2 linked regions of the Arabidopsis thaliana genome follow. The protein of the gene in region 2 interacts with the protein of the main gene of each other region in a pairwise test. Each region holds a gene or a part of one and is shown on either strand. Other genes may lie near its edges. The genes, in order: COPT2 and AT4G21650.

Region 1 (14,673 bases), on a different chromosome or scaffold from region 2:
CCTTAGAATTTCTGCAATTTTTTTTTTAATATAGCAACTAGAACTTCCATGTAGAGTACATAATTAAGTCGTTTCTAACAATCATAAGAAAAGGTCAGACATAATATAAACGCCCTAGCCGAATCGAATCTTTTCAATATGCTCAAGGTCAAGAGACTCTGTTTCTATTCCTCCCTAGGCAAATCAAGATCCTTAAAACATTGTTTGGCCGTTTTCTCCAACAAAGCGTCTTCTAGGAAACAAGAGAGGCAAATCTTGTCAATAGATTTCTTCAGAGATGCTTGGGGAAAAGCTCCTTACCTAATAGATTGCTTGGGAAAATCGTAGCAAATCTTTGTCAGAGATTCTTGGGGAAAAGCTCCTCACCCAAGTCCCACAATGATTTTACCAACTGTCTGACCTTGGCCACCAATGTCACAGAGAAACTGCAACTTGCGCCAACAATTCTCCATGAATGGCAGGAAAACAGAGGGATCATCATGACATTGCGATTCTATAAAGATCGTATGGCTGCAGAGATATATATCTCACACTCCTCCAAGATCAGTTTGTAAAGAGCTTCTCCTGATGACTTTCATGAACACCATGCTTTCTGAACAGCCTGGATGATGCAAGAAGAGTCAAGAAAATTAAACATTCAGGAAGAAAGAAGAATAAGCAATTGTAGATACAAGAACATACGCTGATAAGCTCATTGCAGTTAAAATTTTGTGGCTCATCGAGGAAGATGGTTCTTATAGCTTTTTCCAAGCATCATCCAAATAAATTTTAGGGTCTCGTTTAACTAAATGATGTCAAAAAACATGAAAAACAAAATAGGATAGTCATAGCTATGACGAACACAGCATACCCACCAAAATTTGAAAGAGTCAATATATATGTTTATAGGAGTAGTCTTCACGGAGATAATCACAGGAAGAGAAAGGTCTCCGATCTTCATCGTTTTTCTGTTTACTTGAGGATAAATCGCCGTCAATCTTTGAGCTACTCATGGGTGTGGATCAGCGAGTGCCGATCCGAACCCAAGAAAAACGCCAAGATCTCTAGCATCTTGATACTTCCCCTTTTTCTTCGAGAAGGACGAATCATCTTCAGTCATTAGGTGTTTCACTAAAGAAGCTTAATAACCAGTGGCTGAGCTACAAAAAATTGTTATAGGGATCATATTTTATTTTAATAATTAATAAAATATTTAAATATAATATTTAATTTCAAAAAAAAAAATCCTTAAAAAATTAAAATTCATTGTCTTTAAAAATAAAGAAAATAAGAGATAATCATTATTGTTCTTTATTCATAATATACAGTATATTTATCATTCCATTTTAACATATTTTGTCATAGTTCAATAATATTTTCTAAAAATATAATGCAAAAGAAATGATTGAAACAATATAATATGGTTTCCATAGGTGCAAAGAATAGATTTGAGCACTAGACATGAGGTCAATTTATGAGAAAGCAACCAATTTACCACAATAATCAAATGGAACATAAGATTATAAACAAAAATTCAAAGATTTATGGGGGTCATCTCACCCTCTCCCTTGCCAATATTGTGCATCTGCCACTGTTGATAACTCAACATACACTCGTGGAATCCGCTCGTCGGGGCATCCTTTTCCTCTTATATTTTTCCTCATGTACCGCTCCAGCTTATGTAAGAATTTGTAGATAACTGGTGGAATTGACATTATCATGCCAACTGCTCCACTCACGGTAGAAAATATGACAGTCTTGAAAATGTTCCAGCTTTCATATGCATAATAGATTGTCCTAAGTAGCATTGTCCTACAGTTTCTGAAAAAAAAGACTCACATTTTGTAGTATTATTGTGGTTGTGTTCTTTATCCTCTTTATAGGCTCGATGTTGACGTGGACATCATGCAACTCTTCCTTAAGTCAATCTCTCTTCTCATCCACCATCTTTTGTTCCAACCATGTCGGGATTCACATGGAGCTCGTCATTATCACCATTTAATATTCACTCAAAGTAATGAATGTTATGCATAGAAACAGTGACAAGAAGTCACTATACAATGATTTGATATAGTAGACAAGCGCAATGGATCTCTGAATGGTCTCTGAATTGTCTTTGATATAGCAAGAGGCGATATTAGACGCAAATGGTCTCTGAATTCGCCTTGCGCATAAGGCGTTTGCCTCGTAAAACATATAAATTCATCACATCATCTATATAATATAAATATATATTTTTTCGTATACGCCATGATTTAAAAATTTTGAAATGAATATTAAATTCTTTAACCTATAAAAACAATATAGTATGAAAAAAAAACAAAAATTACATATAATATGAAGTTAAGTGGTTGTCTAAAAATACTCATAAAAAGAACAAATTTTTAGAAAAAAGAACAGTATGCGTGAAATTTGAATATTTAAACTATTTAATATGCATCAAAAGTTAAATACCTACATTCACGATCATTTATTACTTTTGAAAAAATACATAAGTATATAAAATAAGATAAATATTTTTGATTAACATGCATATATTCGCTGGATCTTTATCTTCATCATGATCTTCTGTGATTAAGCGATTAATGGGTTGTGGATTCATGATAGCCGATTGTCAAACTAAGTGGAATCAGAGGCATCGATCCATAAGATACAGAGGAAACATATTTTCAGTATACTTTGTACTTAAATTGAACAAGTTAGGTTAACAAATCTTTGGAAACCAAATTTTTTTTACAAAATGATTTATTTAAATTGAGCCCTAGTGATAATTAAAAGAAATATATTGCATTAAAGGTATTTTATCTTACTATATATTCATAATTGTTTTTTTTTGTTACCTTTTATTGCTCCTACTTTCACAGTATTACAAAATAATAGTTTTCTAACGTATATAAAAAAGTCCCAAGTCCTTTTACAAATTTATGATTTATTTTAAAACTAAGTCAAGAATTGTATTACCCCGAGCTTGAGAAATCCTTAAAGTATATAGTGTGAATGTTTCGGCTCATTATGAGAGCTTCTTTTACTAATTTAATTTACTGTTTTTCTTTAATTATAGATTGATATTTATTTACTTATATATATATATATATATATATATATATATATATGTTTTTAGAAGCACCATGATTCAAAGATTCCATCGTCGACCAGTACTTCTTGGTTCTCCTGAAAATAACATAATTAATATTGAAGAGAGGTTCCAAAAATGGCATGTATATAGTCATGAGAAAATAGTACAATGGTTTCTTCTTCTGTTCATTTCAATGTTAAAGAAACAAATGATAAGTTGTAGATTGTGAGTTGATCTGTGAAGGTTATTCTTAATGACTGAAAATAGACAATTTCTTGCTGCGCAAGTCACTTTAATGGTTCTCTCAAGGCGTAACACATGCCTTCTGTAGTTATGTTGGTTGTTCTTCTTATTGACGATCAGCTAAACCGGATTAAATGTATCCGAACAAAACTAAACCAACTCTACCGGTTAGATGAAGATCACATGTTGAATTCGAATCCTTTTGTGCGGTTTCCTAGAATCAATGTTCAAGAAATCGTTCGACGATAGTTTATATACATCATTTGTTATCATAACTTTGTGGTTCATGAGCGCCTAGGCAGGCGGCCTAAACTGTTTTTTGGAACCTTGGTTAGCATAGTAGAACTATAGAATATTTAGAGAACGGTTTAATAAGTTTATATAACCATTTTAGCCTCTAAAAGAAATCAACTAGTCCTCTCAAATCATTTACTTTCCAAAGAAAAGAAAAGGCGTGAACCTTGCCGTTCTCTTGGTACGTACTATACTAGTACTTGTTTATTGGTTGACCGTTAATAAATTATTGCTAAGCTCAAGATATCTTAATTTATTAATTCTATTGTCAACGACGGTGTCTATCTTTTTAATTGTATTTCGTAATTTCTATATAGAAAGCTTGGAACTAATATAAGTTTTTGCAATATCACTTCTATTAAAAAGAGAGCACATACATGTATAATGTAATTCGATAATGCATGGACCAGTCATTCATATTAGGTCTGGGCACGAAGCGGATATCCGGAAAAATTGTGATATTTGTTATTCGATTTGTTTTAAACGAATACTTGATTTTGTGATTTGCTTTGCTTCGAAAATTTCCGGATATCCGGAATTTCGAATATCCAGAATTTTTTGTGATATTTGCAGATATCCGCTTTGATACATTTAAATATTAAAAAAAACTGTATACTATATAACCATATCAGATATTCAAAGTTTTTATTAAACATGCTTTCAAAATAAGTTTTAAATACCAAACACAACCGTTGTTGGTATCATCGGTCAACAAAATGTTATCAAACTAATTCCAAAAACTAAAACCCGATAGTTTTTGATGCCATTGATCAAAACATAACATTAAAAAAATGAACAAACAAATATTTTAACATAAAAACATAAAATGACAACAATACATAAACTATTTATGATATCTATATATAGATATAACTATATTTTCTAATATATATAAAAAGATACGGATCGAAGCGGATATTCGATTTTTTAAAAAACAATATTCGTTATTTGATTCGGTTTTTACGAATACTACATTTTCCTATTTACTTTGGTCCAAAATCTTACGGATATTCGGATTTTTCGAATCAAATCAAATCAAATACCGAATCGAAGCGGATCGAACGAATATTTTGCCCAACCCTAATTCATATAATTGGTTCACCTAGTCCGTGAACATCTTTTGTTTTGGGCGGCTCTTATTCTTCGTGCTACTTTCTGTTTTTTGAATTTGTTTGTATGACATCAGAAGTAAAAGCAAACTAAGAGTCGAATAATTCAACCCTGAAAGAAAAGAAAATAAGGTTCATTAGATTTCAAACACAAAGAAATAGTGTTTGATAATCTAAACCGATCGAAATCCAATCCGACCGTGAATCAAATAGGTGACTGAATTAAAGTTAAATGATCAGTTTATTTTGTCTTAGATATATTGAGTAGACATGCATATATCATACGATGAAAATCAATAATTTAGTTCTTCTTTTCTCCATATATGTATTTACAATGAAAATACTTGTGGATGGTTACAAGAACCTTCTATGGACAGCATTTGTTATCATAAGTTTGTGGTTCAAAATTTGTCAAATACACTTATCTATAATAATGCAAGAAAAAGATAGCCATATTCTTCAAAATTCAAATGAAATTGTGGAATTAATTTTGTGATTTCATAAAAAAAATCCAAAAGTCACAAAATATTCAAGAAATTGTGGAATTAATTTAGTGAATTTTTGTAACCTAAGAAAATCAATTGAAAATATTTAGCTTCCACTATTAATCGAGTTAAACCAAAACGAAATATCAAAATTTAAAACCAAACCACACACAAAAGAAAAGTTCTTTATAACACAACGAGTAATTTTGTTGATAAAAAAAAAAACAAAGAGTAATTTCAATTGTTCAACAAACGCAGCCTGAAGACGGCGGAAGAAGCTCGGCGGTTTTCTGGTCATCGGAGGGTTTCTTGAAAGTAGTGCTCCCAAAGAGAAAGAAACCAACGCCATAGCCGGCGATAGCGACGATGAAAACACCTGCGTTAAAGGACATAACAGCGAGCATCACCAAATACGAAAGGCCAGTCTTGAGTGTGTACACAGCGGTTTGAGCGAGCCCGGCGGCTCGATTGGTTGAGCCACTGACACGTAGGATCGGTGAATGAGCGAGCCACTCGGCAATTACGGCGAGGAGGAATATAACAATGAGACAGAGAGCGTACATGCCGGAGCTTGTCCCGGGCCATCCGGAGAAGAGAACCTCCGTGTTCTTACCCCAAAAGAAGGTCATGTGCATCATCATCATGTGTGGTGTTGTATGATTCGACATCGATGATGATGATGGTGATGGTGGTGGCATGTCATGCATGTGATCATGATCCATGATACTAATGTTAATAGGGTTTATGATTGATTTTCTTGTAGACAAAATTTTTAAGAGAGAATCGGTTCGTATTTATTGTGATTTCTTAAATGTATGTGTTGTACTGTAGTACAAGTACATCATCTTTTGACTTGTTAAATTTTTTTGTGTAGTACAAACATTCGTTATATTAGAATTTAGAAAATCCCCTTAAATAGATGTTCAAAAGAAAGACAACTATATAATCCCCTAAATATATATATAGTATTTACCTTATTTGCATGATACAACATTACAACTCCATGCCTCTTCGTCTAATCTTCTTTGCGTTGGTATAATAAATAATTTACACAGAATATCTAATTTTAATTTAGAATAAATCTAATAATTTGAAAAGAATTTATACAAATGTAATTAAGGATTTAGTAACTTAGGTTTCAAAACCAAAATTAAGGAGGTGTTATTGGTTTGTTATTTATATAGATTTTTAGTGGTTTGAAATGTTATGAAAAATCTTTTGTTATTCAATTAAGATTTTATAAGATTCTATTAAAGTTTAGTGTTATTAAATTTTGATTTGTAAAAAGTAATCTAAAGTCTTAATAAATCTGAAGTTATTGGATTCATAATTTAATAAAGTCATCAATTTTTTTGTGATATTCAACTAAAAACAAAAGAATCTATGATTGTTAATGATTTAAATTATTGTATTATTGGTTTATAATTTTATACACTTTTATTCACAAAACAAAATCATGAAAATATCATAAAAAGTGAGCGATTGTGAATCATAACTTTGTATATAAACAAAGACCAATGATAAACCATCGTGAAGAATGACCATAGATTATCACAAGCCTCAAAACCTCACGACACAGTTTGTATTGACCTTTTTCCTTACTCTTTTGGGAATTCCCCATAAACTAAGCATATATGTATAGATAGTAATAAGAAAAAAAATTGATAATCACTAGAATTTTAATCATAAAAAAAAAATATACAAAACCAAAACACTCAAACACAAAGAAGACAATAGTATATGAACACACAAATTAAGAAGATGAATTAGGAAAATTTGAAAACTTACGTATTAACAAAATCGTAGTGGAATATTTTGGGAGAGTACACTTTTTGACAATCAATACTTACGTTTTTTATAAAGAAAGCCTAAAATAATAATATCATTTTGGTGAAAATAGTATTTATAGAAGATGAGAAAATATTATCCAATATTTTAGAGATATGTTCTAATAATAATTGTTGCAAAAGCTTTAACACCACTTAAAGTCTCAATTACATGGCTTTAGATAAAAATGAAGTTACAGAGAGTAAAAAAAAATCTGACTTTTAAGACTGTATAAGAGCAAAAACAAATAACAGTCTGATTGTATGAAAAAATGCTGTAAGGACTGTCAAATGCTTTTAAAGTCTTGACAGTGCGATGTCAATCACCCTCTAAGAGATAAAAATAATTAATGACAAAGTTTGTAATTATATTTAGACAGATTTTACAAGATTATATGAAGATTTTACAAAATTATAGAAAAGCTAATCATAGAGATTATATAAAATTCTCTAATTAGTGTTGTTGGGTAAAAGACAAAAAAAAATATGACCTCTACGACGACGTATCGATACAAAAGCCCAAAAAAGAAAAAAGGTTCGATACCTTGCGGTTCACGTTTCCTATCATTACCTGTCCGTCGTTTTCTTCCTCGGAGACGTCACGCAATACTTAGCTTCTACGCTACTCACATTTTCCCACAGTCTCCGGAAAACTGACAACTAAAAGCTAAACTTTCTCTAAATATGAATTACTAAATTTCTATCTCTCTCAATCAAAATTGTTGTCTAGGAGCTATAACGATTCAGATTTGATGGCAATCTCCAATGGCGCCGTGGAATTTCTCCGGCGACGACTCCTCCCAACTACACTAATCCACGTCACGGCTATAGACGGCATCGTGAACGTTAATTCACTCTTCTCGCTTGCTCTTTTCCTCGGCCTAACCACAAGTGGAAACATCACTTTCCCGGTTTCCTCATCAGCCTCCGAGAACCACCATCTCCGCCGATGTATCTCTGCAAAAGGTCCCGCATTAGCGGAGAGGCTAGTATCAAGCCATGTTTACTCCTTCAGTTTATTCCTCTTCTCCAGTCTCATCGCTATGTCTCTCAAGCAAGCAATTAGGACAACAACAACAACAACAAACGGGAACTGTTTAGAGGAGGAGGCGCGTGTGTTGAACGCGGGAGAGGGGCGTGTGAACTTGGCAGCTTTAAGGGTTGGGATTGTTGCTTCGTGTGTTGCGTCGGTTTTGGGATGTGGGTTCTTGACAATGGCGTTAGTGGATCTTGTTCAGATTAAACTTGGACCTTTGGAATGTAAGAGAAGCTTTCATGCACTTGCAGCTATTGTTCCTCTTGTTGTACTTGTTCCTTCTGCACTTATTATCTATGTGTTCCTTGTGCTCTACGCATTTATCTATTAACCCTTTTTTGGGTTTCTACAATCTCTTGTCTGATGGATTTGAGGTTTCAGATTCGATTAGTTCTGTAGCCAGAGATCTAATCTTTGGTTTAACATTAGACAGTCAAGTATACATCATTGAAACAGTTTTTTTAAGAACAAACAAAATGTTCAAACAATCAAATATTGTTCTGTTTCAACTTGATATTCTTCTACAGAGACGCACTTAGAGAAGCTTCTAGTAATATAGTGAACCTGCGAAAATATCAAGATTAGGCATATGTTATAAGCAAAACAAACAAAGACGTGAATATTGTAACAAACATCATTTGGTTAGGGTATGTATAGTACCTTGCCACCAGTTTCCTCTAGAGGCGTCAGACGAATTGGCATCGTTGTTATCTCTGTTCTGATCCTTGTTAATCTGAATGATTCAACGTTTTGTAAAGTCAAAAGATTTTGTCTCTTCTATGAAAAAATCAACAATCAAAGTAACATGAAGGGGTGGATGATAAAATGATAGTTATGTTAACTCACTGTAGGGTAAGTATGGTTGTGTGTGGGGTGAGAGTAAACATCTTGACCACCGTAGTAAAGAGATGAGCTTAGATTGCAGGTTCCAGCTTCTTTACGTTGTTCTGTGAAGAAACCACGAAAACCAAGGAGATAATGTATCCATTAGACCACCCGGATTTGGATAGTAATCTTGACTAAAGAACGGTGAATCTTAGATGAAGAATTTTTGAGCCGTTCTTGGCATGAGATAGAAGGTTTTTTGAGATGAATCAAAACGTTTTTCTAGTAAAACCTGGCTTAATATAAAGTGAAAGGAACCATATTGATTCAAGAAGGGAGACAAGTTTTCTGAGGCTTAATTAAGACTTTTCCACTGACCTAGGGACCCATGTTTGGAGCTTAGGATGTTTCTTGCTGTTCCCTGAAAACACGAAAAAAATGAGAAAGGAAGAATGAATTTCAAGAATCCATCATAAAAAGTAACAGAAGAAACTATAGAGAAATAATCGAACCTTGGAAGGAGGGAAAATGGAGTTGAAGTTGGCAGAGGAGGAAGGTTCCTTGGGGCCAAAGAGTTGAGCTGTGAAGGAAGAAGACGATGATGATCCAACTCTTCCTTTACCCTCCATTACTAAGAGAAATGTGTTATTAACTAATCACTTAGAAGGAAATGAAAAGAGAAGATGATGAAAAATGTAGAAGATCATGAGTGTATATATAGACAAATAGAAAATGCTACAATATGATAATGTGAGAAGTCAAAAGAACAAAAAAACTGCTTTTAAATTTAGTCCCCACCACTATTTTGATTTAGTTAATTCGGTTTGGTTTTTTGGATTTTACTATGTTAGATGCAATTTTACATACGAAAGAAATATATTCAGAGAGAAAATATAGGATTCCAACCTTTCTTGATCACAAAGAGCCAAACACAATTGTACTTGAGCTTTTTCAATCCACTGTTGTCTTAACAGTTTTTTCAAAAAGAAGATTTTGGCGGAAGATCTTACCATCATTTTCATAGATTTCACCAGTAATGTCACATTAATAAAGAATGGTCAAATATCATTGATCCCAAACTAAAAATGTTCTTCTTGTCTCGTCAAGTGGATGATAACATAATGGTATAATACATTAATAAAATGACCAGATAATATTCCAAATACTCGAATGGATTTGGTCATGTATATTTAAAGAGCACTCAAATGGGGATGTCTTCATCTTTTGGGGGTCAATGATTATCATATTGAAACACAAAAACGTGAGCGGCAGGATTCGAACCTGCGCGGGCAAAGCCCACATGATTTCTAGTCATGCCCGATAACCACTCCGGCACGCCCACAAGGACGATTATAAACTTCTATTAAGTTGTTCATGAAGTAAGAATGATAAAAGAAGAGCCCTTCGACAACATGAGAGGCCAAAGAAATGTGGAAAAAGTAGAAAAGTTGTCAACTTAGAATCTTCTTTACTCAAAAGATGATAGATTCACAAAGTTAGGTCTTTGACTAATATTATGAAGCATCAGAACGAGGAATAGAAGTCACTTCATAAAGATGATGCATTCACAAAATTTCGGTCTCTGCCTAATATCATGAAGCATCATAACAAGGAATAGAAGTCGCTACATCATCTGGGTTCGTCTAACTAACTAAGTCTTTTGTTTCGCCACTTGCTCAGATCTACTGATACTTCTTCAGGATCACACATTCTGGATCTTGATCAAGATAGACTTCCCCTGCACAATGCACACAAGTCATTGATGAATAACAGTCGCAAACATCTAAATTGCCAAAAGACTAAGACTTCATAAGTGGAGAGAAACACTATTCATAAAGAACAGTTTGAAGAAACACTTGAAGTCTGAGATAGAAGAGTAAAGTTATGTGCATACAAACCTCAGCATCTACCAAATATCTCTTCTGGTGGATCATAAGCATGTTTCTCAGGGAACAACTCTTCGAAATCCTTCTTCACTTTGTTTCTAAGAAGCGGATGCGGCAGAAGCCCCTTCAACAAAACCCTAAACGGCAACTCTTCCGGCGGATCTGGAGATTTCAACATGTCTTCATACACATTCATAGCATCAGCTGGACATCCGTCTCGAAGAAATCCTCTGATAACCTCAGTATAAGTCTGAGAATCAGGAAAGAGGTTTTCTTTCTTCATTTTCTCCCACAACGCCATTGCTTCATCCATTCTTTTACTCTTTGCTAAGGATACTATAAGGTCCTTGTACATAAACACATCAGGTTGGTACCATTCTTGTTTCTGGATCACCTCAAACATCTATAAGTTGAAGAAACCAATCATCAACAACACAACAAAAACGACACAAAACCATAAGAATATACGTATATGATCTATAAAGGATGGTCTAAAACTTAAACAATATAACTACCCTAATGTTAGCTCCGTTCAGGCATTTCGTCGAACACTTCATGAGCACATGAGATCAAACTAAAGATGAGCTGAAGCGAGACATAAGCTGAAAGACCCAGAAGAAATTGTCACGTAAAGAACGCACCTTGATGGCTAACGCAGTCTCTTCTTGTCGTTCAAGCTCACCGATAACAGCTAACATGTCTAATTTCAACAATCTGAAAACATGGGTTTTTATAAACTTGTCCAGCTTCTCGTCGTCTTCTTTCAATCTCTTGAGACCCAGAATCACGAAAAGGGCTTCTTTTCCGATCAGTTTCTTACCTCTCCAGAGAGGACCTCTTGGTCTCCCGTCATGGAACCGAGAAACAAAGACAGTGAAGGGTTTCGGCGGAATTGGGTGAAGTAGCGTTTTGGGTTTTAAATTCGAGAATGAAATTCGATGAATTGACGGATTCCTTGTAATGTTTTGGAAGAAAATCGAAGCGAAAGTTGGGAACTTTCGCGAGCAGACGCGAATGGCTGTCATCTCTCAAAGGCGTGAACTTTGAATCGTCGCCTTTCCTCTGTATCACACAATAACATAAAACACACAACGGTAGTGTTAAACGTACAAACGACACCGTTTTATGGTGCTTCGTTTGTTAAAACGTCGCGTTTTTTAGTTTAGTGAGATATGATGCTATTTCTTTAAAATCTAAAGGAGATGGAGAGCAAACGAGAACATTATAATCAAAATGAATCATAAATTATAGAGAGATATGAACTGATTTTGACACATTAGTTCCTAGCATATATAACGATAGGATTTCACAGAATGGACTCCATCAGACCATATAAAATGTGACGATGCAAGTTTGTCAGCTTCGGGACCTTGGCCTGAAACCGTAACCGTGAAAGACCTCTTCTAGTACATAGACTTAAGTGACAAGAAATCTGAAACAACCAGATGGTGAGTTTTGATCAGAGTACTTTGGCTTTGTAAGTCGATTGTCATACCGACGTTTGTGACTATTCTACCAAAAGTCAGGTTGAATGGTTTGGTGTCGTTGTTGGGATACAAACCAACGACCCACATTAGAATATTAGAAAAAAAGTAAGGTCTAACTCCTACTGGAGCCTTTTGGGAAGGTATCCAAACAAATTTGTGCAAAGACAATATCAAACTAATGGGAAGTTAGAATAGGCTTAGAAAGCCCAATAATCATGGCCGTTCATGGATGGGTAGTTGAGGTTTCTTGCTATTGATTGGCTTTGTTCATCACTGCCACTCCTGTTTACACCCGAAATGAGTCTTAAACTCTTTGTTGTGTAATTCAAGCCGCAAAGGAAAGTGATATGGTCGGATTTAGTAACTTCATAGACAAGTTATTGGACTGACGTGGCCACCTCCATAAGCAAACTCGGTCATATGATCGAACGGAGAAGTAGATGTGTTCATTGGCCAAGCTACAAGAGACCTCCAAAAAAAACAGAGTATGATCACACCTTTCTTGCAATACAAAAAGTTATGTTTTGATAAAATCCTCTCTTGCAATACAAGAACGTTATGTGAACAACCGAGGATGAATTATCGCATATGGTTATTTTCCAATATTACGCGATGATTCATCCTCGGTAGTGAACTTCCAAAAAATAACCGTTTTAAGATGCTCATCATCCAGATATTTAATTTTTGATTATTCTCCAAATTTAATCAAAACTCTCTAATAATCTTCTGCTTGGAATAATAAGCGTGTGAAAGACTCATCTTTGTGCATCGACTTCAGAAACAAGACATCTGGAAAAACTTTGACGTTGAGTATTGATCTGACTAATATTCGCTTTGAAGATAGTGTTAGGCATAAGCCATACCAACGTTGTGACCGTTCTATGAAAATTTAGTATAATGTTTTAGCGCGTATAATTTAGTATAAAACTCCTTTGATGATCATTCTCGTGACTCTTTTGATATTTAGCGCCAACATGGTTTTAGTTAGCACCGGAAAATTAATGCAAAGAACACTCGAAGAATCTAACTAGATGTTTAGAACAAATGTAGGTGAGGAACGATCATAAACAATAACAAAGCATGAACAGTAATGACCGTGGCATGAAAATTGAGAAGCAAATTTGGAAGACAAGATATATATCTTCTAGAGAGGTAATGACAATGTATAGAGCTGTCAAAGCGGGTTGTCCATGCCCATAAGCCCAATCCATTAATGTCTATTTTGATATTGGACAAATGAAGGTCATGTCCACTAAGACCCATGTCCATTAACGCTCATGTCCAAATGGGTTGTTCAGTGGACATGACATAACAGAATCAAATTTTAACACAATAGTATTTGCTTCATATTTTAATCAATACAAAAGTCAAAAGTCTAACACTTTGAAATTATCAATCTAAAAGCAAATTTAAACAACAAAGTATTAAATGATTTAAGTATCAATCAATCCAAAAGTCAAAAATCTAACACTTTGAAATGTTTTTCGATGATTAGTGTTTTTCTGTTTTGCTACAAATCACTTAACCTAATATTTTATGACTATTGGATCGTTCATGTCCATCACGTCCAGTCCGCTAAAGCCCATGTCCGTTAATGACCATGACCATTAATGCCCGCTTCATAATGGGTTTGTCCATGACCAGTCCATTAAGCATTGGACACGGGCCGCCCGTCCATTTTGACAGCTCTTACAATGTACAAGACAAAATGGTGTTTCCAGGACTTTATTTGTGTGACGAATGATGAATTGTATATTTGTTTATCTTTTTTTATTATTATTGAAAAAACATTGTCTTTACTTTATATATCTATATATTTAAGGAAATTTTTCATTTTACCCAAAAGAATAATAGGTTAATATTAAATGCCGAGATATGTTATTGACGATTGTTTGTATTACTACCAACAATGGTATAACATAAAGAGACGCTATAATGTTTTAAAAGGATCAACCGATCATAGGAGCATCTGCAACTTGGCCGTTGGAACCTAAATAAACAAAGACCCTGTTGCAGCAAAAGTTTTCAATCCGCTTTTCTCCATATCGAAGGACAATCGCTAACACATTAGGATTTTCTCTTTCGATCGTCATTTTCGCCAATTGTCCATTTTTCCCAACCAGTTCTGGCCACCTATACTTCTTTCCTGGAAAATTATTTGTTTTAAAAATAGTAATATAGTATTATTAAAAATGAAAGAAATTGAGAATTTGAAGATTTCACTTCAACAAAAAAAAAAGAATGGAAAGCATACCTATAGCACAACACTCTGGATCTTCGCAAGAGCCAGACCAACATGGAGGATAGCGAGACATCTCTTCTTATTTCTCTTTCAACTAACACAACTTGATTGCTTTTTATTTTACTTGAGCTCTGTCTAATGATTTTCTGGTTATATATATATACAATTGTTATATGCTTCATATG
Region 2 (17,895 bases):
ACCGGCTATTGTGGCTGTATGCGTGCCGTGACCAATTGCATCTCTGTTGGATTTGAAATCTTGGATGATTGTTCTGTTGAATTTCCCTCCAGTCTCGGCGAGTAGACCGCTTAGATAGTACTTTGCTCCTATTAGCTTGTTGTTGCAATGTATTTTGGCGTTAAACTGTTCTCCTGATTCACATTTTCCTCTCCAACGCTGAGGTATTGGTCCAAGACCATGATCGTTGAAGACCTTTGACTCCGGCCATATTCCTGCATAGATATACATACATACATGATGTGAATCAAGGAGAAAGATAGAGATAGAGTTATATTTAGAGAGCGAGAGAAAGACCGGTATCAACGACGCCGATGATAGCTTCACTGCCCATGTTGGTTTCATGAAGTAGACCTTTTGCAGATGATGATGAAGAAAAAGAAGTTGGATTTGGAGAGAGGCCAAGATGATCCCAAGTTCTTGTGGTTTTCAGTTTCAGAATCCGGTTCGGGATAACATGGATTACTTCTGGATGCTCTGTGTTTATGTACAAAAATCTTCAATGCTCAAAGATATGAAACTTTCTTAAATGTGAGTTTGAGTTTTGTTGAGTACCTGAGATTTTCTTTGCTTGTGAAGATGTAAGAAGCGCCGCGAAACCAGAGAATCCATATTGGTAGCTGTAGATCAGCGAGTTATGTGCGTCGTCTTTGCTGTATATATCATTAGAGACACAAGTAAGAGAAGTGCTCCTAACAAAACAAAAGATAAAAACAGAGGAAGGTCCAAGTTCCGTGAAGAAACAGAGTATGGCGACGGCAGTTTTCTTGGCACCCAAGAAAACGTATGTAATATATTATTATCAATTCTAGCAGATGTCTTGAATACATAATGGAGATAAATTATATATATGAAAAGTTTAATAGGTTAATGTTTAATATAGAGATTTTATCTTGGAAGATGATTAAAGTAAAGTACCTTTGAAGAAGTGATTCAAGCATTTGATGATGAGAAGCTGTGAAAAGTTCTGGATCATCGTGTTCCCTTTCCCCAAGATACACTATATAAACCTAATAAATTGGCCAAAAAAAACACCGGAAAAGTTTAGAAATATCAGTAAACTCTTAGCGATTTTCGCAAATAGATACCTTCTTTTCTCTAATTACATACTTTGCTGTCACTGTCTGAGGCTCCTTCAGCTGCAAGAAAACTCACCCCTGTCTTAGGAAATAGGACCAAAGCAATCGACAATAGAAACACAAGTGTGGATAAACAGTTCTCCATTGTCTGAAGTGAGAAGTGTGTGCATGTGTGACTGTGTGGTATAGAAGCTTTTTTATATACATATAAATAGTAAATAATTCGTCTTAAGCAATAAAATTTGGGGTTAGATTCGAATTTGGTTCGGATTCAATTATTGGTTTATTCAACTTATTATGGTAATTCCGAATCAGACCGGTTTTATCTCTCGTGTAGCGTTACTGATATTCCCACCATAACTTTTTGGCTCAGTTTTAACTCTTACAATTGTCGTCTTTCTTATTATAGATATACGAATAGTGTACCTAATTATATATATTACCTAATTATAATTCAAATGAGTATAAGACTATAAGAGGATATCAATAATTTCTAACTAAATGAGTAGGTTAGGTAACTGTAATTAAGAAGTTGGTAGATCATGATTGACTGAATTACTCAATTTAGTATAGAATGATTATATTCTGAACTTTTGAAATATAGAAGACTCTACACCGAAATATAGGATCACAGGACAGCAAACCAATTCCGGATTTTTTTTTAATGTGTATATCGTTTTGAATTTGTTTTTTTTACACACTTTATACTTTATAGATTATAAAATGGTGACCACGGATAGTTGAATCTCTTTGATAGATAGTGGAATATTCCAAAGGTAGTACGATGAAACTAATTATATGGCAATCAAAGAATCGTAATGTGTGCAATCTTTGCTTAATATATAACTAACTATTTAACAAAATACAGAATCAAAAATTATATGATAAATCAAACAATCGTAATGTATATGTGCAAATTTTGCTTAAAACAGAATTACGTTTTCACGTACATTACATGATTCGCCACATTATGTTAATTTGGCTATAAATTAGTTATTAAAGTATATAGACTCAACATGAAAAAACTCGGTCAAGGGAGATTAAAATGGCAAACATTAATCATTGTTAAGCCTTTTAAGACTTTCACTATGGATTGTAAGAAGGAGTGTATTGCTTATTGTTAAGATATAATTAAGATCACATCTTGATTCTTGATCTTAATAATATATAGTCATTATGATGATTATATATTTGCTATGTTATGTTATAGCTATAGATTATGAGATCATGAGGATCCTTTTGTCTCGATTCGGTTTTAGTAGTTTTTATTATATGGATAATATATGGTTGTGATGAATAGATGAGGAAAGATTACTGTTATCTCTATTTGTATGTTTGTGTAAGAGATTCTAAGTTTGTGATTTGATATTTTATTATGATGATGATCTTGAATCTTGATTTGACACTTTGAACTTAGAGTTGCAAGAGTAGTTACATAAGAACAAACACAATGAGCATCATATATATGGCTCTTTTTATTACATCGAAATCGTTGTCTTCACTGAGACAGGGATTGTAACATCATGAACACCATCAGTCCATGTTAAGCTTCCAAAGAAGTAGCCACTGTTGACTTTATGACTCGTTTTAGCCTTAACCGAGAAAGTGAGTACTCTCTTTGCTGCAGACTTAAACACGAGTATGGTCGGGTTCACGGTGAGAGTTATACCCAGAGGAGACTCGATCACGGCTCTATAGACTGACTTGATGGGTCCAACATTGGTTACAGTTCTTGTGAGTGTGACTTCTTTCTCAAGATTTGGAATTGTGATTGAAGGTAAGTTGATATCAAGCATTGATGGCTTAGGAATTGGGCATTTAGTCTTTTTACCGAGCACACGAGAGATTGAGGAGTCGTTGTAACCCGCAGAACACATATAATTGATGTAATCTTTGATCCCCATATCGTAGACAAGTCCTGGTTTAGCAGCTTTTTCAGGGTTTACAAGTCCTCCTCCATAGTCAAATGGATCTGCAAGCTTCTTGTTTGATCCTTGAGCAAAAATGGGTTCTCCAGATGGACTTGTTCTCCAAGCTACAAAAGAAACAGATCGATTGGTTCGTGATGGTTTGTTTATGAAAAAGAAGAATAAGAAGAAGCAAGAACCTGTTGTGACCAAAGCTGATCTCATTGCAGCAGGAGACCACTTAGGGTGTAGAGATTTTAGGAGAACTATGATTCCAGAAACAACAGGAGTCGACATCGATGTCCCTGAATGAAGTTTAAATCCGTTGAACGCACCAGGATCAAGCGGACTCACTGCCGCGAGTATGCTAACACCCGGTGCTGCTATATCAGGCTACAAAGTAAAAACATGACCAGATATATAAGACCATGTACATAGGAGATTTTTTGTGGGTATCATAAGCCTAAAAATATTAAATTAATAGACAAAGCAACTGATTTGGACTTGAGAAGTATCACTGGAGTGATAATTTCTGATACCAGTCTCTAATGACGTGGCGGCTTGTAATTAGTCGAAAAAACGCGTTTTTGTGGAAAATGAGAGAAAAAAAAATTATTTGCTCTCGACTATCGCTCCAGTAGCCGATGCTAGCATGTAATTTCGATTTTACAAATAAATTTTGTTTTTTGATGATACCAATACTGGTCTTACCACTGGAAAGAGATTATTATGAGTATCATAAAAAATCTCAAACAATAAACAAGCATTAAAATTAATAATAAAAAATTGTTGATGATACTCTATGAGTACCAACTATGTGCATACTCTAACAAGTTTACACAAAAAGGATTCAACTTTTAAAGTAAATATAGATAAGAGGCTTTATAACCTTGAGAATGGCTGGTGAAACCGAGTTAGGCCCTCTAGATGAGAATGCAGCAACCTTAGGCGTTGCAGGCTGGCCGGTTAGTGTTGTGGCCGCACTAATTCTCACAGTGGGAGATCTGTTGGTTTGACGGATCAATAATGTATATATTCCAGAAATGTATATGAACTTATATAAGTATGTAACAGAGTGTTTTGGCATCAAGATAGAGAGACCTGGTAGTACGTATGTATTGTAAAATGTGAGTTCCAATCTCATAATCTGTGAAAATGTAAGAATTGTCTGGGGCAGGACGATCATCAGGCTTTTTGGCTAAGATGACTGCTACTACACCTCTCCCTGCAATTGAAGAAGGATGAGTACTATCGAATTCAAGAATTGTTTTCCCCTTCACATCAACATCATCATCCAAGAAAGCTAAACCCGTTGAAATTTCCGGTCCAGTGAACAAAGATTCAGCCAAATTAGATACCAACAAAAAACAACAAGTTAATTTGAGCTTTTGGTAGCAAAAACAATAAGGTCGAACTTTGAACTATTTTCTCAAAGTTATTTTTGGTATCAAACGTACGAAGAAAGTTTGGTTATTCCCAAGTGTGATCTTTGTAGGAAAAGACCGGTCAAGAGTAGTTGCAGCAACAGTCAAGAGCCATGGAGCAACATTGCAAATAGTCTGAGCACCAGACCCATCATTTCCCGCCGCAGCTACAACTGTAATCCCTTTAGCCACCGCATGAAAAGCCGCGATAAAGTCGACCCTCTCGGAATCCTCGGGAATACTCGCCCCAATAGAAACCGACAAAACATCTACCTGATCATGTATAGCATCATCATAAGCCTTCCACATATCAGCAGATGAGCATATACCGCCCCATCCCACTACATTCCAACATGCCTTGTACGAGGCTATGCGGGCCCGAGGGGCTCCACCTCGGACCGTACCTGATAAGAATCCCACATCCGTTAAGAAAAATAAATAATGTCTTATAAAACCGGTACCTTGACTCTTAAGTTAACCTTTTTAGTGAATAAAATCCATAAGGTTTTTGCTATATCACTACCTCGTGCTAGACCATAAAAGCTTGCGTTGGGAACAAATGAGCCACCGGCTATTGTGGCTGTATGCGTGCCGTGACCGGTTGCATCTCTGTTGGATTTGAAATCACGGATGATTATTCTGTTAAATTTTCCTCCATTCATGGCGAGTAGACCGCTTTGATAGTACTTAGCTCCTATAAGCTTTTTGTTGCAATGCATTGTGGCGTTAAACTTTTCTCCTGATCTACATTTTCCTCTCCAACGCTTAGGTATTGGTCCAAGACCTTGATCGTTGAAGACCTTTGACTCTGGCCATATCCCTGCATATACATACATACATGATGTGCGCCAAGGAGAGAGAGCGAGAGAGTTAGATTTAGAGAGAGAGAGAGAGTTAGATTTAGAGAGAGAGAGAGAGAGAGAGACCTGAATCAACGACGCCGATGATAGCTTCACTGCCCATGCTGGTGTTATGAAGTAGACCTTTCGCTTTTGCAGATGATGATGAAGAAAAAGAAGTTGGAATTGGAGAGAGGCCAAGATGATCCCAAATTCTTGTGGTTTTCAGTTTCAGAATCCGGTTTGGTATAACATGGATTACTTCTGGATGTTCTGTGTTTATATACAAGATTCTGGATTAGGAACCAAAAAATCTTCAATGCTCGAAGACCTTACATGTGAGTTTTAGTTTTGTTTGCGTACCTGAGATTTTCTTTGCTTGTGAAGATGTAAGAAGCGCCGCGAAACCAGAGAATCCATGCTGGTAGCTGTAGATCATGGAGTTATGTGCGTCTTCTTTGCTGTATATATTATTAGAGACACAAGTATGAGAAGAGCTCGTACCAAACAAAGGAAAAGAAACAGAGGAGGGCTCAAGTTCTGTTAAAAACAGAGTATGGAGAGGTTTTCTTGGGTGACAAGAAACGTATTTGTTATATAATTATGAACTAATCATATGTCTGAATATATAATGGAGATTGAATTTAATATATGGAAAGTTTAATGAACCGTCACAGTATATATAAACAAGTTCAATAGGTTAATGTCCAATATAGAGATTAGTCTCTATAGAAGAAATTTTGGCCTTCTTTTAAGGATGATTAAAGTAAAGTACCTTTGAAGAAGTGATTCAAGCATTTGATGATGAGAAGCGGTGAGAAGTTCAGGATCATCGTGTTCCCTTTGGCCAAGATACACTATATAAACCTTATAAATCCGCCAAAAAACCACCGAAAAAGTTAGAAATATCAGTAAATTCTTAGCGATTTTTCGCAAAATAGAACACCGTTTTAATTTAGTTACATTTACATACCTTGCTGTTACTATCTGAGGCTCCTTCAGCTGTAAGAAAACTCAGCTCTGTGTTCAGAAATAGGACCAAAGCAATTGCCAATAGAAACACAAGTTTGGAACTTAGGAAAGAGTTCTCCATTTTATGCAGTGAGAAGTGTGTGTGATTCTGTCGAAGAGAAGCTTTATTATATACATAGTGTGTCTTTAGGGAGTGAACTATTGCGTAAGATTCGAATTCAATTATTGGTTTATTCGGCTCAATATCGGTATGGTAATTCTGAATCATACCGGTTTTATCTCTTGTGTAACGTTATTTCCCGCCATGGATCTCAAGAGGGCTCAGTTTTAACTCTTACAATTGTCGTCTTTCTTATTATTGATGTCTTTCTTATTATAGATATACTAATAGTGTACCTACTTTAATTTCAGCTGAGTATAAGAGGATATCAATCATTTCTAACTAATAGAGTAGATTAGGTATCTGTATAAGTTGGTAGATCATGATTGTCTGAATTACTCATTTTAGTAAAACAGATTATATTCTGAACTTTAATATATATAGGATCACAGGAGAGCAAACCAGTTCCATTTTTTGCATTTATGTGTACACTAAAATATCACATCTTTATAATATATAGTCAATATGATGATTATATATTTGTATGTAATGTTACAGCTATAGGTTATGATCATGATCTTTTATAAGAGATTCTAAGGTATTTGTGATTTGATCTTTTATTATGATGATCTTGAATCTTGATTTGACATTTTAGACTTAGATTTGCAACAAATTACATAAGAACAAACACAATGAGCATCATATGGCTCTTTTTATTACATCGAAATCGTTGTCTTAACAGAGACAGGGATTATAACATCATGAACACCATCACTCCATGTTAAGCTTCCAAAGAAGTAGCCAGTGTTGACTTTGTGACTTGTTTTAGCCTTAACCGAGAAAGTGAGTACTCTCTTAGCTGCAGACTTAAACACGAGTGTGGTTGGGTTCACGGTGAGAGTTATACCGAGAGGAGACTCGATCACAGCTCTATAGACTGACTTGATGGGTCCAACATTGGTTACAGTTCTTGTGAGTGTGACTTCTTTCTCAAGATTTGGAATTGTGATTGAAGGTAAGTTGATATCAAGCATTGATGGCTTAGGAATTGGGCAATTAGTCTTTTTACCGAGCACACGAGAGATTGAAGAGTCGTTGTAACCCGCAGAACACATATACTTGATGTAATCCACAATCCCCATATCGTAGACAAGTCCTGGTTTAGCAGCTTTTTCAGGGTTTACAAGTCCTCCTCCATAGTCAAATGGATCTGCAAGCTTCTTGTTTGATCCTTCAGCAAAGATTGGTTCTCCAGATGGACTTGTCCTCCAAGCTACAAAAGAAACAGATGATAGTCTGTAACGGTTTGTTTATGGAAAAGAAGAATAAGAAGAAGCAGGAACCTGTTGTGACCAAAGCTGATCTCACTGCAGCAGGAGACCACTTAGGGTGAAGAGATTTTAGGAGAGCTATTATTCCAGAAACAACAGGAGTTGACATTGATGTCCCTGAAAGAAGTCCAAATCCGTTCTGTTCTTCTGGATTAAGCGGACTTATTGCCGCGAGTATGCTCACACCCGGAGCTGCTATATCAGGCTACAGAGTAAAACATGACCACATATTTAGCAAAGTTTACTCAGAAACGTTAAACCTTTTGAAGTAAACATTGATAAGAGACGCAATGGCTTAATAACCTTGAGAATGGCTGGTGAAACCGAATTAGGCCCTCTACATGAGAATGCAGCAACCTTAGTTGTTGCAGGCTGACCAGTTAGTGTAGTAGCTGCAGTAATTCTCACCGTGGGAGATCTGTTGGCACGACGATCAATGATGTATATATATACATGCACTTGTGTAGTTAAGAGAGTGTTTTTGTTTCAAGATAGAGACCTGGTGGTACGTATGTATTTTAAAATCTCAGTTCCAAACTCGTAATCTGGAAAAATGCATGGTACACCATTGCATCGAGAAAGAAGATCATCAGGCTTTTGGGCTAGGATCACTGCTGCTACACCTTTCCCTGCAATTGGAGTTGCACTATCGAAAACAAGAACTGTTTTCCCCTTCACATCAACAGTGTCATCACTGTCTGAGTCCAAGAAAGCTAAACCGGTTGAAATCTCCGGTCCAGTGAACAGAGATTCAGCCTAAAAACGAACGAACAAAAGAACAACAAGTTACTCAAAAAAGAACTCCAAACTTTGAACTGTTTTCTCTAACTAGTAAAACGTACGAAGAGGGTTTGATTATTCCCAAGTGTGATCTTTGTAGGAAAAGACCGGTCAAGAGTAGTTGCAGCAACAGTCAAAAGCCAAGGAGCAACATTGTCAACAGTGTGAGCACCAGGCCCTTCGTTACCCGCAGCAGCCACAACCGTAATCCCTTTAGCCACCGCGTGAAAAGCCGCGATATAATCGAGCTTATCGACTTCCGAATCCTCGGGAATACCTCCCCCGATAGAAACCGACAAAACATCAACCCCATCATGTATAGCATCATCAAAAGCCTTCCACATATCAGCAGATGTGCATCTTCCATCAGTTCCTCCTCCTTCATCTCTCATTACGTTCCAACACGCCTTGTACGAGGCTATTCGGGCTCGAGGAGCACCACCTCGGACAAGACCTGATAAGAATCACACATCGGTTAAAAAGGAAACAAACTATTGTCTTATAAAACTAGTACCTTGACTCTTAAGCTAACTTCTGTGGTGAAATAATATATATATATATATATATATCAGTACCTTGGGCTAAACCAAAGTAGCTCACGTTGGGGACAAATGAGCCACCAGCTATTGTGGCTGTATGTGTACCGTGACCGTTTGCATCTCTGGTGGATTGGAAATCTTGGATGATTGTTCTGTTGAATTTTCCTCCAATTGCGGCGACTACACCGTTTAGATAGTACCTAGCTCCTATTAGCTTGTTGTTGCAATGTATTGTGGCGTTAAACTGTTCTCCAGGTTCACATTTTCCTCTCCAACGCTTAGGTATTGGTCCAAGGCCTTGATCGTTGACTGCCTTTGACTCTGGCCATATCCCTGCATATACATACATACATGATGTGAGCCAAGGAAAGAGGGAGGGAGTTAGAGTTAGAGAAGGAGAGAGTTAGATACCGGAATCAATGACACCGATGATAGCTTCACTGCCCAAGTTGGTGTCATGAAGAAGACCTTTTACAGATGATAATGAAGAAAAAGAAGTTGGAATTGGAGAGAGGCCAAGGTGATCCCAAGCTCTTGTGGTTTTAAGTTTCCGAATCCGGTTTGGTATAACATGGATAACTTCTGGATGCTCTGTGTTTATTTACAAGATTCTGGTTTAGAAACTTTGTTTTCAGAGTCAAAGATACGAATATTCCTTAAATGTGAGTTTGAGTTTTGTTGAGTACCTGAAATTTTCTTAGCTTGTGATGATGTAAGAAGCGCCGCGAAACCAGAGAATCCATGTTGGTAGCTGTAGATCAGGGAGTTTTGTGCGTCTTCTTTGCTGTATATAACATGATATGTAAAAGTGAAATATGAGCTCATAATTCATAACAAACAAAGTTTAAAACAGAGGAGGGTTTCAATTCTGTGAAGAAAAACAGAGTATGGGCTAATGAGTTTCTTGTGTGACAAGAAACGTATGTAATATATTATTATCAACCTAACAGATGCCTGAATAAATGTTTTAACTAATAAACATTAAACATGTATATATGACAAGTTTAATGAATAGTTACTGTACATATAAACAAATTCAATAGGTAATTGTCCAATATCATTATTAGTAGAAATTTTTAAAAGATGATTCAAGTATAATACCTTTGAAGAAGTGATTCAAGCATCTGGTGATGAGAAGCTGTGACAAGTTCAGGATCATCGTGTTCTCTTTCGCCAAGATACACTATATAAACCTATAAAATCCGCGAAACAAGAGTACCAACAAAATTTAAAATCCGTTAACTCTTAGAGATTTTTGCAAATAGAGAAAGGTATTTTTAGTTGAATACTTTGCTATCACTGTCTAAGGCTCCAGCAGCTGTAAGAAAATCCAGCTCCGTGTTAAGAAATAGGACCAAAGCAATAGCCAATAGAAGCACAAGTTTAGAACTTTGTAAAGAGTTATTCATTTTCTTAAGTGAGAAGTGTGTGGTGGCATAGAAGCCTCTATGGTTGTATATATAGTAAATAATTCATCTATTATTCATCTTTCAATTCACGTTTCATGACTCCACCACCATTTGGGATGAACTTTTGGGTTAAATTCGAATTTCGGCTCGGATTTGGTTTGGTTCGGTTTAATAATTGAGAGTAGTGTCAAACTCAAAACAATCTCACTTTGTTTCAGTTTTTCTTTCGGGTTAATATTTGGTTTTATCACTGAAGTACATTGTATTCAATTTTGGTTGGTTCAAAAAAAACTTACCAAACTAAAACCAATCCTCTCGTAATGGTACTTTTGTTATAATTATTAAGATTTGAATGAAAAATAGGATTTCACACTTTATAGATAAAATAGATAGTGACCACCCATAGTTGAATCTCTTTAGTAGTGGGAATCCAAAGGTGTTATGGTACGATGAACCATATGTGACTCGTTTTTCAGCATGTTTTATAATGGCTAGTACTTAGTAGTTTAATTAGTATGTATGTGAAACTCATTGTAAACAGAAACCAAAATGACAAACATTAATCATTGTAGAAGCGGAATCCACTTAGCTTAAAACCTTTAAGTGGTAAAGCTAAATTTGTCTCATTTCAAGCATATATACTTTCTTATGTTTATATTAATCTTAGATTTCATTTGTCTAGCAAAGTTAAACTTTTAACTACGTGTTAAAAAAATTCTGACATCGCTTGTAGGCTGAATAACCATTCATATTTGGAGAGACTTCTTGTTGTTTCTAAATGTGTCTACCATGTAGAGGCCTATGTATAATGATTAATAAGCGAGATTTGAAAAGAAGATAAATAGATAATGTTGAAAGAAAGGTGAAGAAAGGCGATTTAGGAACCCTACGACTCTACGAGTCATCATGCTCATGATAATGTTGAAAGAAAGGTGAAGAATGGTGGTAGCCCGGTAGGACAATGAGTGGCATAATTGGCCATTTGTCGCTGTTTCATTACTCTCCCGGAATGAGGTGTGGTCGAATCATTTGTCGCCTAATATTGGAAAAGTAATAGAATACATCATTGAAAAAATCCACAGTATGTTAAGTTTTTTTCATCACATGCAGGGATTGAACAACCCAAGGATCATGCCTATGAATTAGTTCACACTATGCATATGACAGTAACATATGAACATAATTTGGTTTCAGGAGCGAATGTCGTGAAAATGTACATATTTTTGCCTCGCTTAAAGATAACAAGGTGCACTGAAATAGATCACATCGACGGTTTATTCTGTAGACCGAATGATCAATCTTTTAAAAACCATAAACGCTGAAAGTACTCGGACAATTTGAAAAACAAGACGTCGCTTACAAAACAAAGCCTTTTTTCCCCACTTTTTTTGTTCCAAGTCTCAGGCTTTGAATTTGTTCAAATTCCAAAAACAAAGTTTTACTTAAGCCTTCAGATAACAACATAGTATAGAATCTCATAAGCATTAAGACTAAAACTCAAGATCTCTGACTCAAAGACTAATAACTCTGGAACAAGAATCTCTCCCTATCTCTCTCATGTCCAGAATCCAGAATCCTTTTCCGTGTCTCTTCCAGAACACCTCAGAATTTGAAATCTTTCTTCTTCTTCCCTTCCTTGTCATGCATTTTCCTCTTCCTACTATTCTGCTGCACATGCTGTTAAACATTCCACCAAGTAAACGTTTGATTATTCATCCGCATTCATATCAATAGTGTTGAAAAAAATAGAGATATAAATATAAAGAAAGTCATTACCTCGACGACCATGTCACTCAAGTCCACTGGCTTATTGCGCAATTTCTCCTCTTCTCTTGCCTCCTCATACTTGGCAGGTAAAACATTTTCCATAGCATCCAGCTCTTCTGGCTGTAAGCTGACATCCACTCTGTCTGTCTTCTGCCCTCTCAGCAAATCAACCTGCTCAATTTGACACAATTGCATACGTTAGCCCACTTGTCATCAAGCAAAACAACAAATCTCTGAGCATGTAACAACAGACTGCTTACCCTTTTGGCTCCCGTCTTTTCTTGAGTACCAGTCTTAATAACGTATGTGTGTGAGGTTCCCAGCAATGTTCCAGGAGCAACACTCTCTCCCTTTTCCTCGAGTACCTTCACAAGTCAAAAAAAAAAAGGCATTAACGACCAGAAACAGTGAATTATTGGTTTATATCAAACTAATAGAAAAGCCTACAAGGCGTGTAAGATCATCAAAATTAGGTTTCAAACCTGGTATAGAGCCCTATCAGGTTCCTTTCTCTGATCCTTACGAAGTTCAATTGCATCCGGTGTCTCTATACCAGTAGGAGTGCTGAAAGAAGGGGAAAATCACAAATCAGCTTTATACTTAGATTATACTGATAAGGAAACAAATAAATAGTATACACCTCATAAATGCATAATGATAACAATACCTTGACAGTGTATCAACAGATTCAGTGCCGTCTTCTAGTTCCTCTTCATCCATCTCCTCTTCTTGTTCCTCTTCTTCCTCCTCCTCTTCTTCTTCCTCTTCCTCTAAATCACCCCAGTGCTTGCTCTTATCAATTGGCTCCTCCTAAGATAATGATAAAATACAACCGTCATACTCTATCACCAAATTGTATGATCTCTAAATATTCAATAGGACGCTTTTACTTTGTATTTTGTGGTATCTACCTCGTAGCACAATATGCAATTACTAAGGAGAATAACAGAGAGAGATGAAAACAGTTACCTCGTAGTTAGGCTGATCTTGTTGCTGGACACCAAAAACATCTCCATACAATGGACGCCCATACTATGTAACACAAACGATAAGAACGGGAAAAAAATAAAAGTTAGTAGATGGCATAGAAATAATAAAAAAGAAGAATGTAGATAAAAAAAAATGCTTACTTCGTCAACTGGAGGTTTCCCCCAGCCGCCAGCATGAAAACCAAAGCTAGCTCCAATTGGAATAGGAGCATTCAAACCAGGAATTTTCAGATGTGGGTAAGAAGGAGGCGGACCATATCTCTGTCAAAGAAGAGATTAAAGGTGAACAACTCGATTCCAATCAGAATAATTAAAAAGATAAGTCACAATAAACTCACCTGCATGTTAATCAGCCATGGGGGAGGAGCGCCTTCAGGCATACCAAGAGCTTCTTTTAAGTCGTTTGACAAAAACCCTGGTTTCGTTTCCCTCAGTTTAACCTATTTCCCAAATGATAGTAATTAGATTTTAGGTAAACAAACCAATGAAACCAAGCAATGTAATTATAGATAAAGCTGAAAAAACATGTCACAAGGAATTACCTCAAATTCTTTCCCTTCAAAATACAAATCGCCTAGAGCTGACAGCTTAGGCTTTGTTTGGTATTTGAAAAATGCATCATGAAGTACCTGAGAAAGGAAAGAATAGCTTCACTTGTCAGTTATAGAACAGATATCAGCAAATACTCATCACAAAACAAAGATTAAAAAAAATAGAAACCTGGTAGTCAATGTCCATCTTTCCCATTTTTGGTTGCATTCTCTCCCGTTGCTTTTGCTTCAATTTCTTACCATCTTCTTTCTCAATGTAAGCCTACATAAGAACCACACAAGAATTAGCTGACAGTAGAAGCATTTAGCGACTTGCACCTTATATTGATAGAGAATAACTTTTACCTGTCTAATCTTCTCAATTCCGGTTGCAGCAATGAAATCAGGAAGATGAAATGGCTGCTTCTCTATCCCACGCTTTCCCTGCAAAAATGAAACCCCGCTGAGATGCCACCAACTTATAAAAAGAAAGAAAAAGCAGTATAAAAGTACTACAAAAACAGATGCATCTAAAAGCAAGATCACTATCATGCATACGAAAACAAAATACAGTTTCAGAAAGGGAATATCCCAAACTGATTCATTAAACAGTTTACTCCAAAACCTAAGCACCACAGATTTCATATATAGACAGAAAAAAAAAATTAAGAGTCCTCTCCGGTTACACCTACAAGTCCAGGCTCCATGGTTATCACAGATGTTCTCCTGCAAGAAGCATATATAGGTATAAGGAAACTTAATTGACATGGTTATCACAGACGTTTCTATCCCTCTTGATATAATTCCCCTATGTACCAGTACCACACCCACAAATCACAGAAACATATAGTTAACTACAGTACATTACTAGAATTATCACAAACCTGCAAATATTTTCTCTTCTGCGACCAATGTCTTGGAACAGGAACTGTATTCCGGTACGACTTCAAAAACACTAACAGCTTTGGATCTGCTGAAGTCGCGTCCCAGACCTGAAAATTGTAAAACAGAACTTATGAATATACAATAGATATCTACACAACGAGATAAACCTTGGTACTATGAACACAATAGAGAAGCATCCATACCTCAACAACATCAGGCCTAGCGGAAACCTGCTTCAGCTCAGCAATCTTCATTCTCCGTTGAAGCTGAGGAAACAGAAATTCAGAATATTCAGAATCTAAAGAATGCAATAAAACAAATTGAGAGGTAATAATAAGGTTTGAGCTATACCTTTTTCTTCTTATTAGAGATGCCTTTCTCTTTGTTCTGATTATCCTGCTCGTCGTCGTCTGAATCAGAATCAGAGTTAACCTTCTTTTTGACATCTTCTTTCTCCTCAGACTCATCTTTCGTACCGTCTTCTTCAGAGGCAAGAGGTTCGCGGAAGTTGAACTTCTCGAAGATTTCCTTAAACTCATCGTTAAAACCATCTTCAAATTCAGCTTGCTCTGGAACATACTCTATCACAATCTGCTCACAAACCTATCAAAGAGAAACATATACCAAAAATCATCAGCAAACGATAAACAATCACAAACCCTAAGAAAAACCCTAGAACACCTCTCCATGAATCGAGTACGAGAAGATGAGCACAAAGTTAACCTGTGGCTGGGGATCTGTATTCTCTTTGGATTCAGAAGCAGCAGAAACGTCCGATGCATCTACATCGGCTTGGGATGCTTTGTTGTTCTTCTTCTGCTTCCGTCTGCGGCGGCGACGGTCAATCTCACGAGATTTCTTAGAGGAAGCGGAGGTGTTTCCGTTGGAGACATCACCGTTAGAAACGACGCTATGAACGAGTGCGACGGTTGAATCGGCGGTCATATTCGGTGTTCTCTCTGAATCGGTGATGTGAAAAGAGAGATTGAGAGGAGAAGGAAGAACGACGGAAATCGAGGATATACGTATATGAACAAGAGTCGGTTTGCTGAAATTCTCTCTGATTCTATTTCCGGTTTGGCATAAGGCCCATATAAGTAGAAGACGAATATATCTGCCAATAGGCCCAACACTTTATATTTTTCTTCGAGTGTAAGAATTGTTTTGTAGAAGACCATCTACTAGTAACTAATAGAAAATTTCAAAGGAAATGTATGGAACAATATTCAAACACTACTATAAATGTTGGCACGAGTTAACTCTACATTATTCGTAAAAATGTTCTATTGAACTTTTAAAATTATAAAATTACAGTTTACACAATGTCTTGAAATTTTGAAGAAAGTTATAAGTATCAAAATTGTATATATGTGGGTATTTGAGATTTAAATAAAATTCTCTGACTAACAACAAAACTTTTAATAAAATTTAAATGTTTTAGTTTATTATTCGTAAAAATTTAGTTTTTACATGAATTGAGGTAATTTTTATTCACTTTGAGATTTTATTAATGTGAGCACGACTCCCGGTGTATGTTATCGGTTGTTTATTATGCAATTAGAACAATATACATTGTGCCTTTTTAGTTTCAAAATTGTTTTCATAAGACATTAGGAAAGAACACGGAAAAAAAAGACATTAGGAAAGAATTTTGTAACGGCTTTTGTACGTAACGGTTATTTTTAAACAAGGAAAAAAATACTGTCTATAAAAAAAAATTATCTTTACGTAGTTGTGTATTTTAGAAAACAAAATAAATCATTTTTTATTTACTAAACTATTATTTTATAAGGAAAAGATTGAAAAGAGTAGGGGAAAGATATATGTGAAAAAATATTCATGCTTGGTAGATAAAAAATATTTCACAAATAAAGAGACAAGTATATGTCAAAAATATCATGTCTTTTGAATAAATAATCTTCTAAAAAAAAAGAATTAGATGAACTATAAATATCTTGTGGTATATGAATCCTTGACACTGTAAAAATCAAAACATGAGATCAGAAACACAAGTATAAAAGTACATTACAAGTACGGTATGAATCGAAAAAAAAACAGAATTTGACAGGTTTTGAGCTGATAAAAACTATTTCAGGCTTTTATTAATTTTTAAAAATAGTATTAATTGTTTTTAAAATAAGACATAAATAAAAAAAAGAACGGTTAAAGAAAATGAAGGGGCCCTTCGTGTTTTGTTTTCCCTTAAAAAAACCAAGGACAAAGGCATAATGCCGTATTCACAATCTTGACTCTTCGTTATCTGGATCTAGGGTTTCTCTCGATTTTTAGAACGCCACAAAACCTAATAAACTTTTCCCAGATACACAAACAAACTCATCATCAACCAAGGAAGAAGAAAGAAACTAGGGTTTTTTTTTGTGGATTCATCATCGGTATTTTACAGATCTATATTCAAAGGGAACAAAATCTTAAGGAACAAACACTAAATTTTCATTCTTTCTCTTATTTACCCATTTATCAAAAATCTTCCTTTTGTTTTCCTGATTCTTGCTAAAGAAAAAAACTCGGATCCAATTCATAAACTAGTGTGGACTGGTGATCAATCTATCAATTCTGGCCAAGGGACAACAAAAAGTTTAGATTTTGATGAACCAATTTTGAGATGAGACAATAGACATCCATTGATCTGTAAACTTTAAGAAGGAGAAGGAGAAAAGAAAGTATGTATAGTAATAATAGAGTAGAAGTGTTTCATGGTGATGGAAGACTTGGAGAATTGGAGATATACCCTTCAAGGGAATTGAATCAGCAACAAGATGATGTGATGAAGCAGAGGAAGAAGAAACAGAGGGAAGTAATGGAGCTAGCCAAGATGGGAATCAGAATAAGCCACTTTTCTCAATCTGGCGAGAGGTGTCCTCCTCTTGCAATACTTACTACAATTTCATCTTGTGGCCTTTGTTTCAAATTAGAAGCTTCACCTTCTCCAGCTCAGGAGTCACTCAGTTTATTCTACTCGTCCTGTCTCAGGGACAACAAGGTATCTAAACCTTACGAACCTTTAAGCCTTACTCAGACTTAGATTTTATCAACTAAAACTCAAAAACACTTAATGATAAATAGGATTTTGTGTCATTATTTAACTTCCTTAATGTCAGAGCTGCATCAAGTTTGGGGCTTTAGAAACTTTTAGTAGAGTGGGGGTTTGAATCTTGTGTTGTTTGTTATGTTACAAATTGTCCTCATATTTGTGAGTTTTGGATTTTTGCTTCTTGCAGACAGCAGTAATGCTCTTGGGTGGAGAAGAGCTCCATTTGGTTGCTATGTACTCGGAAAATATCAAG

The links.
Region 1: the proteins of AT4G21650 (region 2) and COPT2 interact in a protein complementation assay, tested with the Arabidopsis thaliana proteins (one large-scale study listed by BioGRID).

Annotation. Positions count from the first base shown.
Region 1 is NC_003074.8:17,260,122-17,274,794, reverse strand, and holds COPT2 (copper transporter 2), read right to left. Parts: upstream 5,921-14,673; 5' UTR 5,909-5,920; coding exon 5,432-5,908; 3' UTR 5,285-5,431; downstream 1-5,284. Other genes in the region: AT3G46890 (maternal effect embryo arrest protein), read left to right, coding at 7,765-8,379; AT3G46880 (uncharacterized protein), read right to left, coding at 8,529-8,612, 8,709-8,825, 8,895-8,995, 9,252-9,294, 9,386-9,502; AT3G46870 (Pentatricopeptide repeat (PPR) superfamily protein), read right to left, coding at 10,773-11,162, 11,275-11,310, 11,401-11,784; AT3G46860 (Serine protease inhibitor, potato inhibitor I-type family protein), read right to left, coding at 14,196-14,392, 14,501-14,561. UniProt on the Arabidopsis thaliana protein: Involved in the transport of copper.
Region 2 is NC_003075.7:11,494,238-11,512,132, forward strand, and holds AT4G21650 (Subtilase family protein), read right to left. Parts: upstream 10,503-17,895; 5' UTR 10,420-10,502; coding exon 10,300-10,419; intron 10,204-10,299; coding exon 10,112-10,203; intron 9,795-10,111; coding exon 9,697-9,794; intron 9,602-9,696; coding exon 9,422-9,601; intron 9,344-9,421; coding exon 9,047-9,343; intron 8,926-9,046; coding exon 8,534-8,925; intron 8,448-8,533; coding exon 8,191-8,447; intron 8,110-8,190; coding exon 7,995-8,109; intron 7,897-7,994; coding exon 7,704-7,896; intron 7,634-7,703; coding exon 7,077-7,633; 3' UTR 6,925-7,076; downstream 1-6,924. Other genes in the region: AT4G21630 (Subtilase family protein), read right to left, coding at 1-254, 337-516, 595-692, 958-1,049, 1,150-1,263; AT4G21640 (Subtilase family protein), read right to left, coding at 2,597-3,153, 3,226-3,418, 3,915-4,029, 4,127-4,299, 4,483-4,853, 4,973-5,269, 5,376-5,561, 5,652-5,749 and 2 more; AT4G21660 (proline-rich spliceosome-associated (PSP) family protein), read right to left, coding at 12,022-12,096, 12,196-12,357, 12,447-12,551, 12,669-12,750, 12,854-12,996, 13,156-13,218, 13,317-13,436, 13,514-13,615 and 7 more; CPL1 (C-terminal domain phosphatase-like 1), read left to right, coding at 17,274-17,591, 17,830-17,895.